Danio rerio: one gene and its partners. The protein of the gene in region 3 purifies or fractionates together with the protein of the main gene of each other region. This does not show direct contact. Links are inferred from orthologs where the notes say so. Each region holds a gene or a part of one and is shown on either strand. Other genes may lie near its edges.

Evidence for each region. The genes of interacting proteins can lie anywhere in the genome.
Region 1: the proteins of rcc1 (region 3) and xpo1b purify together in Homo sapiens (affinity purification with mass spectrometry; 3 studies listed by BioGRID and IntAct, with this or other methods). This does not show direct contact. The link is inferred for Danio rerio from reciprocal best matches to the Homo sapiens genes RCC1 and XPO1.
Region 2: the proteins of rcc1 (region 3) and ranbp1 purify together in Homo sapiens (affinity purification with mass spectrometry; 3 studies listed by BioGRID and IntAct, counting the BioPlex papers as one, with this or other methods). This does not show direct contact. The link is inferred for Danio rerio from reciprocal best matches to the Homo sapiens genes RCC1 and RANBP1.

Annotation. Positions count from the first base shown.
Region 1 is NC_133192.1:25,313,963-25,320,335, reverse strand, and holds the start of xpo1b (exportin-1), read right to left. Parts: upstream 3,840-6,373; 5' UTR 3,252-3,839; coding exon of another isoform or gene 3,249-3,251; 5' UTR 2,162-3,248; coding exon 2,135-2,161; intron 1,865-2,134; coding exon 1,733-1,864; intron 1-1,732. UniProt on the Homo sapiens protein: Mediates the nuclear export of cellular proteins (cargos) bearing a leucine-rich nuclear export signal (NES) and of RNAs.
Region 2 is NC_133180.1:19,737,287-19,743,429, forward strand, and holds the start of ranbp1 (ran-specific GTPase-activating protein), read right to left. Parts: upstream 3,840-6,143; 5' UTR 3,684-3,839; coding exon 3,669-3,683; intron 2,474-3,668; coding exon 2,337-2,473; intron 1-2,336. UniProt on the Homo sapiens protein: Plays a role in RAN-dependent nucleocytoplasmic transport. Alleviates the TNPO1-dependent inhibition of RAN GTPase activity and mediates the dissociation of RAN from proteins involved in transport into the nucleus.
Region 3 is NC_133191.1:37,420,679-37,427,146, forward strand, and holds the start of rcc1 (regulator of chromosome condensation), read right to left. Parts: upstream 4,344-6,468; 5' UTR 4,257-4,343; intron 3,447-4,256; 5' UTR 3,416-3,446; coding exon 3,343-3,415; intron 1,954-3,342; coding exon 1,766-1,953; intron 1,656-1,765; coding exon 1,476-1,655; intron 1-1,475. UniProt on the Homo sapiens protein: Guanine-nucleotide releasing factor that promotes the exchange of Ran-bound GDP by GTP, and thereby plays an important role in RAN-mediated functions in nuclear import and mitosis.

The DNA of each region.
Region 1 (6,373 bases), on a different chromosome or scaffold from region 3:
GGTTCCTCATGTAAAAATACATAATTTCTGCAAACCCTAAGGATTTTAAATAACTAATAAAAATAAATTAATTCAATTTAATCCAATTAAACAAAATTTTTCATTTGTTTGTTGTATTGTTAAGCTACACAAAAGTAAACTCAAATTTAATGTTGTAAATGAATCTGTTATATATATATATATATATATATATATATATATATATATATATATATATATATATATATATATATATATATATATATATATATATAAAACATACTGTCACTCAACAGATAGAGAACAATGCAGAATACATCAGTGAGCAAATCAATGCAAAGGCAGGTGCAGATTTACTACCGTTTTCTGCATGAACTAGGCCTGAACGATTTGTCCTAAAACCTAAATCTCGATTAATTAAACATTTTAACTCGATTACGATTAATGAAAGATTGTTTAATTTATTTGTTTTATGTTTTTGCCCTCATAGTTCACTGACAAGTTTTGTACAGTAAATGTGCTCACATATTACAAGTGAGAGATTTTTGATTGTGCATTACTTGATTAAAATTAAAGGAAACACACACTATCTACTGTCTATGATTATTTATTGAACATCAATATTGAACAACTGAGATAAAGACAAACAGTGCCTAAAACGCGGCTCTCCACGCCGCGCACCCACGTCACCTCTACCAAACTGACCAATCACAAAGCTTGTGCAACGTGTCGTTGTGACGCGCAATTACATTTTTTTGAGAAGTGTGCAGGTATGTGAACGCTTTGCTGGACTGTATGTGCCCTTGGCAGAAGTATAAAATGGAATATAATAGGATAAATTGGCCTTGAACAAGCGGGGTCACGTAACTCAACACATGGTAGGGAAAGTAATTGAAAAAATTTACTTGGAAAAATTTGATCAATTACAGGTTCTAAATGTCGATTTCGATTACTTTTCGATTGAGCTCCTTTGTGTTATAAATGGAATTATGCTTTCATTGTAATTTGTTTATCTTAAAATGTTTTGAAAAATCATGCATAAGTTCATATGATTAAATTCAAGATATATTAATAAATATTTATTTTTTTAAATAAATCAGGAAATTATCCACTGCCATTTTGTAATACATTTTATTAATCTTAGGTCCAAAATCCATAATTAAGTTGGCCCATAGTTATGTTTGGCCCTTCATTAGAAAAGGTTAGGGCGTTCCTGACCTAGATGATCTCACCCAACTACATTGAATAGGTGTCTAGGAATCTATCAATCAATATATCAATCGAAATACATCATTCAACATCAACACAAAATTTAAATGAATTGCTTTATATATTTTTAAATGCATTTGGATCATATAATTGTAGTTATTTTCTTGTTAAACTTATCAAGTACACAGTTTTGTACCTTTGTTTTCATCAAGTTTTCATAATCATCTTCGCTAGTAATATTGTAAATTACCTCAAAGTAGCTTGGTTCCATTAACGAGTTACATGATGTTTTATTTTAAAATACACTGCTGGTAAAGTGCAGACAGGGTTATATTTATCCAGTCTTTTGTCAAATGATCACCAAATTAATGCTTATTTCAGGACTCTTAGAATAATACTTTCCCTTTCAATCCATTTATTGTTATTTGTATTGACTATTTTATTATTTGATGTGCACTGGATAATTATCAGCTAATGTTATGTTATATCTTCAACACATACATCTGGTGCTGTATTTACCAATTTGTAAAATGATCTTACTTACCTGTGGCCCAACTCCATGGTACAGGCAGTTGACCACATTATCCAGCAGGTTGATATCCAATTTCTGGTTAAAGTCCAGCAGCTGTCTGGCTGCGTGGTCGGCTAACATTGTCATAATTGCTGGCATAGAGCTCTGTAGGGGACAGGGAGGAAACATCTAGCAGGGGCAAAGTCATGTCAAATGAACATATGGGTACAAAAATCCAAACAGCTGACCATTACGCCCCTCCCTCAACCAAACTCGGGATCACCCAAAAAGCCTTATATGTTCTAGCCTGTCAACACAGTAGTGCCTAATGGAGGGTTTAATCCTTAATAACAATAGGATAGGTTGGTGGCGTGATAAAGGTAACATGTTTGCAGCTTGGATATCCTGATGTGTGGAGAAACAAGAGACACTCACTGGGCTCATGATCATCACACCAGCCATTATTCTCTGAATGAGACCACGTGCTAGGCAGCCCTTTCGCTGACGACATTGTTTACATATAACAGAGGCGTAGCGTTACCGAGCGCTCTGCGTTAGTACACACTTTCTTTCTACTTTCATAAGACCACAACCACAAGACCTAATGCTGACTCGTAGTAGACTGAAGGACACTTGAATGGCCATTGCTCAAGCTAATTCAATTTGTACCCCGAAGCCAAACTGTTGCGTAACGAGGTAAGCATTACGGCCAAGAACCAAAAGAAGTTTGGCATCGGAGGAAATTTCAAGAATTTATTTAGACACGACAGTCAAGCTTTATGAGACCACGGGTCTCGCAGGCATAAACAAAGTGATGTGGTGTGCCATAACTAATCGTCAGTACTGCGCAACCTGTTGATTTACCCTCCTTTTCCACACATCACCTTATTTCATTCAGTAAGCTGTGACCACAATAGGATCTGTAACCCAACATAGAGCTACTAAGCATGCACACGTTTTCAAAACACAACTGGGTTGGACTAAGATAATGCCGCTTATGATGTTCTAGTTGTGTTGATATAGACTAGAACCCCTAATAATGCGTCGCTGTACATGACAGCAACTGCGTATGCATACAATCGTACAAAAGCGCTTGAATGGACGCTTTAGCGCGCGACTGACGTTAAAACGTCCAAGCAAACACCTCTTCCGTGAGAAAACACTGACGTTTCTGACGGACTACACCCGTTTTTGGATGACTTCTACGGGGGTGACTTTGCAAGGATCTCCCTCGCTGACTCTGGAGCAACCCCTCCCACCAACAGCATGCTCTGCACCCTACACCTGAAAGCTCTGCAGGCTTCACCAGCAGTAAACCAGGTAAGTAACACACTGTGGGTGCGTTATACGCGTTTAAATAACTAATGCTTTGGCTCTGGAACAGTCCGGAATGCGGTTTACAGTTGAATGACGCTCGCTAAACCCAAACAAGCGTGCTGCTGAAGTCTAACGTTAGCTCGTGATCGGAAGCGATGCAGTTGTTATTGTTATGATGTTACGTGAGATTAAAACTATTTTTCAAACGAACAAACCCCAAATATAACGTTACCATTTAGTCCAGCGTGACACCAGGAGCCATCACGCCACACACCCGCAACATCCAACAAACACTCAGCAGCACAACCAGCTCACTTTCTTTCGACTTCAACCTCCATACGTGCAATTTCTATTCATTTCAACACAATCTCACAGCATCATCATTCTCCAAACCAACCCAAGCACTCTAACTAGAAGTTTGCACCCCAAATTTACCTACCTAAAGTCCAAGCCTTTGAGAGAAAGAAGGTGGGCTTGTCTGCCAGAGTTGCTAAAATAATGTTTATTTGATCCAGTATCGCTGGTGCCTGTTTGTACACGCTTTCTGGAAAAAAAGCTTTAGGATGAGCCGTTGGCTGGTCAGCCACACTATTCCTCTGTGAAGACTACACGAGCTAGTAGCTTGATTTAAGGACCACTAGGATGTGAATTCCGCACCATCAATCACGGCGAGTTCAGTATTTTCTTACTCCGGTTCATTTTACGAAACAAAGTTAACCTTATTTCAGAAATGTGCTCTATACTTAAGTATATTTTGCACCAGGGCGGTATTAGAGTCTGAGCCTGTGCGCCTCTTCTTCTCACAAGCAACAAACTCGTAACCGGTTGAAACCGGTTCAGACTGGGAGATTCCATCTCGGTTTAGTTTTCAGCCGATGGCGCCGCGAAAAGTTTGGATTAACGTCACGCCCATGGCGGCCTGCTAATGGCCGTTGCGTTGCTAAGCACGTCCTCGCTCACACACCATTGGACGGCGAGCACGTCAATCAATCTATACTCTTTCTAGCGCCCACGCGACCGCTCCGCCCGTTTGGAGAAAAAGAAGGCAAACTGCGTGCAGAATGGACCTGTAATTCCTGATATTATTGCTCTCGTGTGTTTTGTTACTATTGTAAGGAAAAGCTAGTTTTAGCGTTAATAGTAACGTGTTTTGCACGACTCCGTCGATAAACATTCGCGTTTATATCCGCCGCGAGCTTTAATTTGATATTCCCCAGCAGTGCGCGTCTGATAATTGCATACATGCTCGGGAAAATGAATTTCAGGGTGGACTGAAGGAGATCGAGGGCATCGAGTCCGTGAGGCGGATGTTGGAGCTTGTACTTGTGCTGATTGTAAGCTGGTAATTTTCCACGAGCCACGAAGGGGAGTGGTTGTTCAGAGTCAGGGTATGAGACGCATGGCATGGGTCAGAGCTTGATACAATTGGCTTGTGATGGTCTCCATAAACTTAACTACCGCGAAATTGACTCCGGTATGGTTGTGATGGATGATAAACGCATCGAATCGCTCAAAAACATCATTATAAACAATCGGCGTGCTGTTTCATACAGACGTCAAACGCTCGCATGTTCACCCCCTCTTCGCTAGTCACGTGACGCAACGCCACTTAAACGTCAGTTGATGGAAAAATACTGGATTTTGTGTGCGCAAACTAATGTAGTGCCTGAACTGAACAAAGAATGAGAACAAGAATACATTGTCCTCTAGTCGAGCTGTCATTTAGGCTTAAATAAAACTTCGTTCCACAAGGTCACAGTGTCGAAGTCTTTCCGTTTAGTCCAGCATGTGGTCAGTATTACACACCTTCTGAAATGGCTAACTAAACAAGCAGTGTTACTGCACTTTAGGAATAGTAATTTTGTAAATGATATGCCCAACAACTGATCTCCCTTTTAGTAGAGGCCAGCATTTATTCCAGTGTTAGCTGGTGTTTAATTCAGCATTGCTGTTTTGTGCATTTAAATTGCTCCAGGTGTGATTTGATAATCAGCTGTTGTGTGAATCAGATCTATATTCATTACCTTTTGTTGTGTTTTATTATATGCAGGTCACATGCCGATGTAAACTTTGGAAGAAGAGATCAGTATGATGTGGCTTGAATGAATGTTTGTTTGTGAATCGTGTCTCAGTGTCTAGAAGTTTCTATGATATAGTTACTCATGTTTTCCAGGAATCAGAGTCAACTACTTTGTAACCCCTGTTCCAGTTTCTTTCTTTACAGCAGGTTTCCTGAAGTAATTAATAGATAGAGAATGGGTGTGTTTGGATAACACAGAGTAATATGTTGTGTTCAGTTGTGTGTCTTGTATTTAGTTTGAATTAAAGTGACAGTTCACCTGAAAATTGAAGAAGAAATTCCTCGTTTAAAAAATGTTGGAATACTTTGGTGGTCAACGGCTGCTGGGTTTTCGACATTCTTCAAAATGTCTTCTTTTGTGTTGAGGGTAATTATGAGAGAATTGTTTTTAAATTTTAGGGTGAACTATTTCTTTAAAACTCCAAAATTAAACACTAACTCTTTTAACGTTCACACATGGTGAATGTGCTCTTATTTTAGAAATGATAAGAAATCTCTTGTGTTTCTCAGGCTATGACTTCACTTTGTGTAAAAGAAAACTCACCATGCTTCATTTCTTTGTTGTCTCAGCTGTTTTGAATTATTTTGAGAAATACAATAAAGCATTGAAACTTCTCTGGAAGTCTGGTTTTGTTTATTGTGGGTTCCTGATCATGCATATGTACAAAGCATCAAAAGTATAACTGTGGCTGATGTGAAAACCTTGTATGCTTCCTATATTAAAGTGTGCCATTAATCAGCTCATTACAGAGGGTCTGAAAGTTAACAGGGTCAGGGGGCGAGTGAAAGAGGTCGTCCTGCCGAAGTGAGCTTAGGAGGGCTACACGTGCACTGTGGCACATACATGTGAATGAAATGGGCTGCTCTGTTTGGATTGGGCTGGATTGAGCCCGTTCCCACCGGTCCTACTAGTCCATTTACATGCATTATAATGACATCACCTGCTCCTCCCCTGTTTGACAGTTGTCATACTTGTGGTGTTTATGTACTGTCTAATAAACTGTTAATATTACCTTATTTATTGATTACATTTTTTTTAAATTGTTGTTTAGCAAATTGGTCACTATAGACAAACAATAAAACTAGACTGTAAAAATCCTGGTCGTCTTAAATTTTTAAGCTAAATGAAATTAACCTTATGAGTTCATTAAACTTGTTTTGTTGAACTGACTTAAAACAGCTTGTGCAACTTACACAATTAAGTTGGAACTTGAATAACTTAGTTTAATAAGTTATAATGAACTAAAAAAAAACACTATTATGACAAATTGATCATG
Region 2 (6,143 bases), on a different chromosome or scaffold from region 3:
ATCAATGGTCAAAGACGTATTTAATTCTTTAATTCTATAGCACTTTTACAATGTAGATTGTGTGAGTAACTAATATTCACGATATAATAACTAATATTTTCTATAAATGACCTAGTTTCAATGTATAGTTTGTATATATAACAATAAGTGCCTGATGGCTCTTGGCAAGCACTAAATACACTTTTACAAAAGTGTCAACTGTAATTTCAAGACAATATAAGTTTAAACCATTGAAGCACAAGACAACACACAGAAAAAAAAAAGATGCAGAATAAGTTCTCTCAAGTCACGCCAAACACACAAATTATGTAAAAAATAATAATAGAATAGTATAATAGCAAGTATACTTGAACAATTTATCCTTACACTTTACCGTAATTAGAAAATCAGATGTGTTAGTCCATCACATATTAATGTTAATCAATGACAAGACTGATGTATACAATAGTATCTGTAAATCAAAAAAAAAAAAAAACATTTGCTTTACAGAAGACCAGCATTTTAAAGCTGCTTTTAAAACAGTACAATTATGGTTCCAGTGTAAACCAACAAAAATATGTATTGGTAAAATCTTCTTGCTCAATGCATGTTTAGTTTTAGTTTACACAGACATATCACCCTGCAGCCCAAGACCGGTTACTCACTGAAGCTAAGCAGGACTGAGCCTGGTCAGAACCTGGATGGGAGACCACATGAGAAAACTAGGTTGCTGTTGGAAGTGGTGCTTGAGGCCAGCAGGGGGCGCTCAACCTGTGGTCATTGTGAGTCCTAATGCCCCCAGTGAAAATGAAGAGGACACTATACTGTCAGTTCGCCATCTATTGGATGCAACATTAAACTGAGGTCCTGACTCTGTGGTCATTAAAAAATTTCGCAGAATGACAAGCATAAAAGCCTTTTAGTAATCTATAAATATATGTGATTGACAACACTTTAAGCTGTCATCAAACAGTTTTTAAAAAAAGCAAATAAAAAAACTTTTTAGTGCATGCATAAGTAGCTATGTTTTTATAAAGAATGCTAATTAATAATGCACAAAACTGGAATATTGCATAAAAGATGTGTGAATAAAACAGTTTCCATCCAACAAGTCAAAGCAAACAAAATCGTCACTTACTAATTATATGGTGGCAACAGTAGAAACTGAATTGGCTGTGGTAGAAGAAGCTGCGTGAATCTTTTCTTCATTTAATAAATGACTTGCGCCTCAGAAGGCAATCCTGACACGCAGTGAACGAGTAGTGACATTAGAAGGCATAAGATGCGGAGCACAGATGCTCTTGATTCTGGAGGTTATTAATAATATAATAACAATAATATTGAAATAGTTAAGCCGTTTTAGAATCACCTAAACAACATGTCAGATGTTCACAGGGTGCTCAGCCAGCTGGTTTATTCATTCACATATTTTTATCATCACATGATCTCTTATAACAAAATCATATGACTTTAATGCATATACTGAAATATATTCGTTAAAAGCGTTTCCATCAGTTTATGCGCATCTTTTTATATCGAATAAAAAGTTTATCCTACAGTTATGCGCATAAGTTTTTATACACATTTTGGCGTTTCCATCAACCAGTTTTTTATGAGCATATCCATAATGCGCATAAAAATAAGTGGATGGAAACAGCTAGTGTGATATAAAGTGCTCTTAGAATGCAGTTACATGGGATTTTTTATTTATTTATTTTTTAATATATTAAAAAACTAGGGCTCCACGATACTATAAAAAAAATAGACATTGAAATATTTTTATTCACTGCGATATAAATGAATATAAATTTATATAATTTAAATAAATTTCAGCAGATGACAAATAGCTTGTAAAGAACTCAATTTTAGATCGACTGGGATGATTCTGTAAGGGAGCATATCTGCATAAAATATAATTTAAAAAAATTACAAGCAAAGTTAAATACAACAGAGAAAAGATGCAAACAAACGAGGATTTATAATTTTCTGGGGAGTCAAACAGTATTCAGAAGCCGAAATTAAATGATCACTGTATAACAACAACACTATCATTTTAATTGAGTAAATAACTACATAATGTCCAATCAGTCTTTAAGCTACAAACGTTTAATGTATTGTGCCAAAATGGCTTATATTTGCTTCAAATTCCTACAGTCAAGTCTTAAAAACAAATGCAAATAATACATTTTCATTCGAAGGTTAAAATTTTTAAACAACGCCACTATGTTGTTAACCGTATTGTCTGATCAACTACATTGCAGATCCCTGTGATGAGACTGTTGTGGACTCACATTGCGATATCAATGCTGAAATCATCTACTGTGCAGCCCTAATATAAACCTCAGTTAATGACTTACATCTTGAAAAGCTCCTCCTCATCCTCTTCTAAGGTCTTAACGTCCTGCTCGGGTAGTGAGACGATGGGCTCAAAATGAGGGTCATGGTTGGATTCCTCAACGTTCTCAGTGGATGGTTCATGCTCATCTTGTGCCTCCTGGAGGGGAAAATTAAAAGAGCAGCTTTTATTAAATCAAACTTAAACATGACATAAGCTAAAACAGGTATTTTTGGAGAACGCCACACATTTACTACAGTATTTGTTCTGCTGAGGCTCACAAGTCCTGATCCCTTCTGTGGGGATCCTGCTTCCACATTACTCATCAGATCAGTGGAGTGAAAGGCTGCGGGATTTGGAGGGATCATTCTCTGGAGTTTGGCCTATTGTCTCCAAATTTGCTGCTGCAACCAAACTTGCATCCACTGGTGCTTGAACTCGCATGCTGTGATGCTGGCGGAATCAATGCACTTGCTCTTCACTAATCACTGGTCTCACATTCATGAAGGCCTTGTAAGCTTTAATTATTGAAAAGCTTTCTGATCAACTCTGGCAGATCTTCTGCACATGATGTGATGCTCTGAACCGCTCCCAAGTTGATCACTTCGCATTTTCAGAGCTGAGCAGCTTACTTAGCTAAACGACTGACTTGACTGAAGACCGGATATCAGATGTGTATGAATTAATGTGGGAGTTAAACGAGTTTTCAAAAGTGGTCAGTCAGTTAAGTTAGCATCCAAGCTAGAAGCTGCTAATAAGCGGCCTAAAGGCGTTTAAGTGCTCGACTCGTAGTTTCGCAGCCCATATTTTGCACTGCTTGAGCAAATACAGTTAAATCACGTAATTAACCCCGGAAGAGTGTTGATAAACCGGGTTTGAACTTCACGTGCCGCAGGTTAGCAGTGCTAACACACAAGCTAACAGTGCGTTAGCATTTCAAGCTTTCGAATTAAAGTATGAGCCGTTTTTACTTGGAGCATGCGAGGAATATGTTTATTACGTTCCTAAAAATCAATATTTGCTTGTCCTTTGTGTTTAAGCAAGTAGCGAGTGCTAATCGACACAGAATAATGAATTTTAATAACGTTACTGGTGCTACTGAATGTAAAGCGTGATTGTAAATAAACAAACGACTTTGACAGCGTATGAAAAAGCAATAGTGAGTATTTAAAATGACACCAAGAAGTTCTAACGTCTGAATATCCAAGCGCACAATGCAAAACCGGGAAAACACCTGCTTTTTACAGTCTGTTAAGTAAGACCCTCATAAAACATTTATCGCCAACAAAACAACCAAAATAAGCATCTCTCGCTGTTCGAAAGACACAGAGGCTGAAGATGATGGCCCTCTTACCTTTGTGTCCGCCATGGTTTTTGCAGATGTTTTTCGATTAGAGAGAGTATCTGTTGGTTTTGATCAGTGCGAGCTCGTGAGATTTCACTTCGCTACTTTCGCGCGCGCATAACCGGAGAAGAGAGACGGTGACGTCAGCGCAGCCGCGCTACGTCATGGCGCACTTCAGCTACGCACAAAGTTCTGTTAAATCCTAAAAGAAATTATTTGTTATCACTCAGAATCTTCACATAAATCTAAAGAATTTATCTTTAACTTTTTTATCTTGTTTAGATTTTTTTAAACATAAGCAAAAGTGCATGGCTTCAGTCCCTACTTTTGGACATTTTCTGATTGAAGGTAACTCACTGCTCAAATCTTTCCGTATGTGTCAAAACAAAAAATGTGTCAAATTACTGGTTCTATATGAAGAACTGTTGTCTATTGACTCTGCGTTGAGTTAGATAGCTTTCCTAATGCTCTTAATTTATTTTCATACACTTTTTTTACAATTGTAATTTACTTTGTTTTGTTATTCTTTTTTCTTTCTTCAGCTTAGGTAGTTTGTATTTTTTTCTCTCCTTTGTATCTCTCTCATATCAGTCTCCTGATTGTGGTTGAATATTAGCATTCTTTAATAAATAAATAAAAAGTGCTGTTAAATACATGTTTAGAGAAATTCGGTTTTGGGCCCTTCTTTTGTAAGGGGATGAGTACGCTGTATGACGGGGGAAATAGCTCAGTGAAATGAGGACATTGAACTACACAGAGATTTCTATTAGAAAGAGGAATTCGGCAAGGCTGTCCAGCCTCTGTGTACCTGTTTCTCATAGTAGCCCAAGCCTTCTGTCACTAGAATCCAAATTGCTAGACGAAATGTTTTAATTAGTCAGTAAGCAGACGATACAGCCTTATTTGTAAAAGACTCAAACCAGGTTCATCAGGTTATCAAATCTATTCAGTTGTTCTCTAATGCCTGATGTTTGCACCTAATCTCCTCATAAATTGTGAAATATAAAAATTCTCCCCTATTATCTGTAGAAGGTATACCAGTTGAAGAAGCTGTTAACTATTTAGGTGTTGTCATTTCAAAAAATGAACAAGATAGAGTGTCTATTTTGTGTGTGTATTGTTGTTATTATTTACTTTCTATCACCCTGGCATTATTTTACTATACTGTCACATATTTGTTGTTTAACGCATATAATAGAAAAAAAGAAAAAAGAAAAAAAAGTTCTGTTAAATACTGTAACAACAATAAAATCAAATAAAATTACTTCAGAATCCTACATACAGTTTACCCATGTGAATAAGATCGATATGGATGATATGTGCTGCTTCTGTAAAGCGGATAGAGCATCTCACATTTAGACCTGTTTGAATGTAACTTAATTTTTGAATGTTGAATATAGGTGTGCCTAGCAAAATATGCCTTTAGACAATGTTTGATAATTATGATACAATAAAACATTGATATTTTTTCATATTACAAAAACAAATCTAATAAAGATCTGGATTTTTTTTGATAACCTCTATTGGCAAAATGTCATATACATAAACAAAAATGTGCTAAGTCATCTCCTATGTTAACGTTTTTTTTTATTTTCATTTCATTATTTCTTCTGTGAAACTGCTGAAAAGCAAAATATCTGAGATATGTATTAAACGGGCTACTGCAAAAAAAAGAAAAAAAAAGAAAAAAAAAGAAAGTATCTCCCCGATAATCTTTTAAATCACTGTACACTCTGTTAATTGTGTCTCTCTCTGTGTGAGTGTGTGTGTACCTGTTTTTATGTTCCTTGTATTATTTCTGAAACATTTTATATTACATAAATTAAGTTTTGCTGAATTAAAATGTTGAATATCCAGGTATGCCAGCTACATACACTGTTGTTCGTTTAATAAGCTTTTTATGAAATCCGTATGCTTTGATCTTCTTGACTTTGACATTAGTGATTTAAAAAATCAAAGATGAGAGGTGAGGAAGATGACAGATGATTACTTTAAATGTAATCTGATAATGAAGCTTTCATATCTCACTGCATATTTAAAAACATTTTTAGAGCCCTGAATTGCAGATGCATCAACTTTTATTATTGAAGTTTGCCATGCAAGCGAGAAGAATGAACCTTCGGCATATTCATACGAAGCTCTTACCTCTGACACTCAGTTGGTTACATGAAAACTATTTGGTATAGATGATCTATGGTTTATTTTAACTGACTGTAGGGGTTCTGTGGATCCTAAAAAAATATAAACATGCTCAGCTCTTCCAGTCTTAGACCTACAAGGTGCCAGGGATTTAATGCAAGTAAAGTACATTGTTTGATTACCTAAAGAACATTCATTCATTAATTTTCCTTCTGCTTAATTTCTTTATTCATCAGGGGTTGCCACAACAAGATCCACCAACTTATTAAACACATTCTACACAGCAGGGGGCTATTCCAGAAAGCAGGTTATGTGACATACACGGGTAAGTTTGAGAGTAAGTAG
Region 3 (6,468 bases):
TTGTTTTAAGTTTTCTTTCCCTGATTTTATTAAGATTAATTGTTGGTGATTGGATGGATGTCGGCCTGATTGGGTAAAGCTTTACATGGACAGAGGAAATTTAAGACCAGTTTAAAACGATGCAAGACACACAACACAATATTTATGTGGATTTAAGACTTTAAAAGGCCTAAAATTTTGTTTTTGAAATTTAAGACATTAACACTTCAAGACCCCGCAGACACCCAGCAGAAACTGTACCAAACTACTATACCAAATCAATGAATTATCAAATTATTAATGTAGACATGCATTAAAGGAGCAATGGAACAATTGTTGTCATTAAGCTACAGCATTTGTATTTATTCTTGATGTGTTCAGGCTAGTCTTTTTTCATACAATCAACATAGAAAGCAGTTTCAGCATGACATTAATAACACACAACACTAATAAGATGCAAATGTGGTTTTACATATGATTGAGTAACAAGTTATATTAGGCTTTGTAATAATTGTAGAGGATATTTCAACAAATTAAGAGGTGTTACTGTTTTGATCAAATTTCTATAACAATGTTAGAAAAACTGTTAAAGGAAGAGTTTCACCCAATCATTTGCTCTCCCTTTACCCCTTTCAAACCTGTCTGAGTTTCTTCTGTTAAACAAGATATTTTGAAAAAGCTGGAAACCTGTACCGACTTCCATAGTATGATTAACAAACACTATGGAAGTAAATGGTTACAGGTTTCCAGCTTACTTCAAAAAACTTATTTTGGTTCAACAAAAACTCAAAGGTTTTGTAAAACTTCTGTGTAAACTTTCATATTTTTGGTGAACTATCCCTTTAATTTGAGACCAGCCTCAGGTTGGCTAGATGAATTAAAAAATGGCAACTGTAGACTTGTTAAAGGAGCTTATTTCTAAAAAAAGAAAAAAAAGTTAAGCATTCCTTTAATATATTTTACATATAAAACAAAAGATAAAGGTGCATCTAATAAGTTTTATAAATATTTATCAGATACTGCATGTCAGGATTTTTAAATGTACATCTGTTTGACATTTGTCATGTTTCAACAACAATAAACTATGGTTCCTACAACTTTCACTTACGTGGAAACATCTGTCTTGCACTTAAAACAGATTTGACATTTCATCACCTTGGAATTATAAGGTTCTATCTGGGTGCAGGTTGATTTTGAGATATCAAGCTTCAAGGTTTTTGCATTTCATAGCAGACAGTATGCGTGTAACTTTTTTTTTTTTAATAAAAAGTCTTAAAATGTAAACACCTTATAAAAAGTATCTCAATGTCAATAAGTTGTCATTTAACAAGAATATGTCTACTCAATTTTGGCAAAAATGTCAGATAGAACCTTATAATTCTAAAGTGGCGATTTATCGAGATAATTCCAGATATCAACTGATATGAAAAATGTTATGATAATTCAGGCCATAATACCCAGACCTATAAGGCAGCACACAAAAAGGCAATACTCACTCTAAAAGAGCCCCAGACATAGACGCCTCCGTCCTCTGTGAGGGCTGCAGAGTGACTGTCCCCTGCAGAGACCTGAATGATCTTCTCTCCAAGATCCACCTTTGCTGGCACCGTCTCTGAACCCTCCTCAGATGTGTCCCGGCCCAGCGCACCCTCATCATTACAGCCAAATGTATAAACCTACAAGTCGACATTAAAAACAACAAAAAAAACTTTAGTCCTGACCTCAAATCCCCACTAACATGACTATTCAAGCCTGTTATGATTAATGTTATTTGTGTAGAGCTTACGTTTCCCGTGTCACTGAGGCAGACTGTGTGCATTCCTCCAGCTACTGCCTGCACAATACCCTCAGGAAGAGTCACTAGAGCTGGTTTCTTCCTCTCCATCACATCCTCTCCCAGGCCAAGCTGACCAACATCACCCTGACCCAGAACAAGCACCAGGCCCTTCTCCTGGCCATGACTGATATGAGAGACTACAAATCAACAAAAATAGAAACATTCAGAGGCATGTGGCACAAAATGAGTGGCTCCAGAGATAAAATAAATCCATTAATCTAAACCCATAACTAGAATTTGTTAAGCAAATCAATATACATTCACTGGCCACTTTTATAGGTACACCATACTAGTACCGGGTTCGACCCTTTTGCCTTCAGAACAGCCTTAATCCTTCGCAGCATAGATTCAACAAGGTACTGGAAATATTCCTCAAAGATTTTGGTCCATATTGACATGATAGCATCACAGTTGCTGCAGATTTGTCATCTACACTTCCATGATGCAAATCTCCCGTTCACCACATCTCAAAGACGCTCTATTGCAGGGATCACCAAACTTGTACCTGGAGGTTCGGTGTCCTGCAGATTTTAGCTCTAACCCTAATCAAACACACCCGAACAAGCTAATCAAGGTCTTGGGTATACTTGAAACACCCAAGCAGGTGTGTTTAGGCAAGTTGGAGCTAAACTCTGCAGGGCACCGGACTTCCAGGAACGAGATTGGTGACCCCTGCTCTATTGGATTGAGAACTGGTGACTGCGGAGGCCATTTAAGAACAGTGAACTGATGGTCATGTTCAAGAAACCAGTTTGAGATGATTTGCTTTATGACAGTGCGTTATCATGCTGGAAGTAGCCAACAGAAGATGGGTACACTGTGGTCATAAAGAGATGGACATGGTCAGACACGATGCTCAGATAGGCTTTGGCTTTGACTTGATGCTCAATAGATACTAATGGGCCCAAAGTGTGCCAAGATAATATCCCCCACACAATTACACCATCAGCCTGAACCATTGATACAAGGCAGGATGGATCCATGCTTTCATGTTGTTGATGGCAAGTTTTGACCCTAGCATAAGAATGTCAGACCAGGAAACATTTTTCCAATCTTCTATTGTTTATTTTGGTGAGCCTATGTGAACTGTAGCCTCAGTTTCCTGTTCTTAGCTGAGAGGTGTGGCACCCGGTGTGGTCTTCTGCTGCTGTTGCCCATTTGCCTCAGACCAGCCTGTCTGGCACCAACAACCATGCCATGCTCAAAGTCACTCAAATCATCTTTCATCTTCATTCTGATGCTCTATTTGAACTGCAGCAGATCGCCATGGCATGCATAGAGTTGCTGCCATGTGATTGGCTGATTAGACATTTGCGTTCATGAGCAGTTGGACCTAATAAAGTGGCTGGTGAGTGTATATCTAGGCCTCTATATTGATATTCACAAAACAGAGTACACAACAGTAACTTCAAATTTGAGGTACATATCATAGTTTGTTTCCTTCTGACAACAAATTTACACCTAATAGCTATATGAATATTCTTATGCTTTAAAGAAACATTAAAAAGTCTTTATGAAATAATGACCTTTTAGCTTTTTCGCAACTGTTGAATCGCTTGGTGCCGCTGTTTGTCTCTTCACAGCTTTTTTTGCAGACATGGTAAGCCCAGATGCTTGACAAAACCTGAAACTATGAATAAAGACAGGTTAACAAACAAGCATCAGAGAAAAAAAAATAGTTTCTTAGACAAGTTATTTAACCAATCTAGCAATCAAGACTGAACTTCAGGCCTACAAAAAAAAAAACATGATAGACTAGAATAGGTCTTAAAAGTAAATTCAATTTATTTTGTTTTTGTTGTTTAATATAATTTTAAAATAGATCTCATATTAAGTAAACAACATATAAATCATTACATTACATTTAGAGCCACTTTGCTGTATATTGACTATGTATAGCATTAATGCACGTGAACGTGTATGGTCTTATACAGGCACACATCTTTTTTTGGCATCATAACAGTTATAAATGTGGTCATTGCAGGCAACTGACGAGTTTTTGACACACAGCCTCTTTTTCTGGCTGTGACTTCACGGTTTGTGACTGACAGCAGCAAATGTTTGATGGCGGTTAATCGGCTAACACGGCATTAGAGGGGGAAAACAGACGAGGCTGTTATTGTTTTAGCTTTAATGCAGGAAACTAATTTAAACATGGCGGAATAAGATCTGAGTTCAAGTTCAACGTCTTAAAGGAACATCCCGCTAAAATTTAAAACAAACGCAGTCTCTAATAGCATTTTGAAGCCATGTTTTATTCTCGTGACCTTTAAGTTAGTTTGATGAAAAGTCATCACAAAAATCATGTTGAGACACTTTAAATGAGGTTAATAGCAATGAATGGGTCAAACAGGCTCAGGCTTGTTCCGCAACACATTTCACAAGCTCTACATACACTACATTTCTCATGCTTTCTGAAGACTAATATTTTTAATCTTACCGTCAACAGGCAGCTGAGATGATGAGCTACACTTGTGTATGAAAATCTCCCAGGTTCAAAGTTTGTGTTCGCTCGAGGAGGTTTGTGAACATCAATAACTCATTGAGTGAATGTAACGCACGCGTGTCTCACTCTTGCACTACTTCGTGTGACCCGGTGGATTCGCGCTAATAAACAGACTCAGAAGCGCCAACTATTGGGAAGGCGGGTAGAAACGTCTGTAAAATAAGAATTAGCTTTATCATGCTAATCGTCATTTTACGTTAGAATACCAAATTTAATGCACGTGTTTATAGTTAAACGTTGTTTTATCCGTTTAAAAGTTTTTAATGATGTTCTTCAACTATTAGTTTTTCTTAACAGCCCGACACAGAAACAGTTCCCTCTGGCAATCCATCCCATCAACACCTTATGACAGTAATTGTGAAAGAAACTTCACTTCTTTTTACACACAAACTTATTTAACAACGTACTTTACACGCCAGTTTGCACATATAATACAAACACGTGTCACTTTGTACATTTGCATTAACTACCTCTATTTTTAAACTAGATTTTTATCAGTTTTTTTGTCCTGTTTATGTAATTCTGTTGCACTATAGAAGCTTGTTGTCACGAAAAAAAACCCCTCCTCAGATACATACCTGGCAATCTCAGACAAAAACTTAAAAAATAAATAAATAAATAAATGAATAAATAAATAAATAAAAGAAAAAGCTGAATCAAAGAAAAACCTTTTTTTTTAAATTACGCGTGATGTTATCTATACAAAAATAATTTAGTTTTATTTGATGGCTGCCTTTTTTCTATATTTTATACACTGTAATAAATGCTGGGTTCCACCACTCCATGTTGTCCCAACACAAATTTATTAGGTTCGCTTAATCTTTTTTTTATACAAGTAGTTTGAACTTAAAACAGTTAAGTTGTACCTTATTGTGTCTTGTTTCAACTCATTTTTGTGGTTAGAACAAACAGCAAAAGTATTTTTTTAAGTGTACAAGACACAAATGAAAAATAAGTAGATTCTGTCATGATTGAAATGAGGATTATTACCCATTTCTGACATTTCCTTAAAACGAAACTGTGAAACCTCATCCTTGTACATTTGTTGCTAATCATCTTTTTTTTTTCTTTCTTGGAAGTTGCAGACACATGAAATGCAGAACAAATGTGGTTAAAAAGTATTTAGACCTTTAATTCCCAGCTGGGATGGTGTAAACTGCTCTTTTACAAAGAGCTTTAACATCCTTTAATAATAAAAAAAAATTATAAATAAATAAAAAAAACATAGAAACCCATAAATTTGTAGCAGTTTTATTGGTTATAATGATAAATAATTATAATGGAAACTATAACAGCCTCTATACCCTGCTGAAAAATCTAGCTGGTTTTAGCTGGTCGACCAGGCTGGTTTTAGAGGGGTTTTGGCCACTTCCAGGCTGGTTTCCAGTCATTTCCAGCCTGATCTTAGCTGGTCAGGCTGAGAGATGACCAGCTAAAACCAGCTTGACCAGCCTAGCCAAGCTGGGAGTCCAGCCAAAACCAGCTATATCCAGCTTAAACCAGGCTAGTCAAGCTGGTTTTAGATGGATTTGGCTGGTCATTTTCCAGCCTGACCAACTAAGACCAGGCTGGAAATAGCTGAAAACCTTGAAATGGCCAAAACCCCTCTAAAACCAGGCTGGTCAACCAGCCAACCAGCCTAGGCTGGTTTAAGCTGGATTTTTCACCAGGGTATACAATAGGTAATGGAATACAATCAAATTATAGTACAAATAGTTTCAAATATTTTGCATGTATCAATTGACCCTTGCAATCATTGGATTCGGCATCTTAGTATCTTCCAATGGAAAAGATTTGGTGCTCTACCAAAGGTTGCAGTCAAAAATGTAATCTTATTTTTTAATACATATATAGAGCAAATTGATCCAAAAGTTGTTCATTTGTTTCTAACTTTTTCTTCCCTCCATTTTAAATTATATCTTTATTATTTTCTTTTTTTAATATATTTACTAAGCCTAGTGTGACTTGTGTGTGGTTTTACAATTGAAGTCAGAATTATTAGCCCTCTTTACACCTTTTTTTAAATTTTATTTATTTATTTATTTTCCAAATGATCAAGAAATTTTCACAGCAAGAAATTTGCACAGTATATCTAATACTATTTTGTCTTCTGGAAAAAGTCTTTTGTTTTATTAGAAAAAAAGCA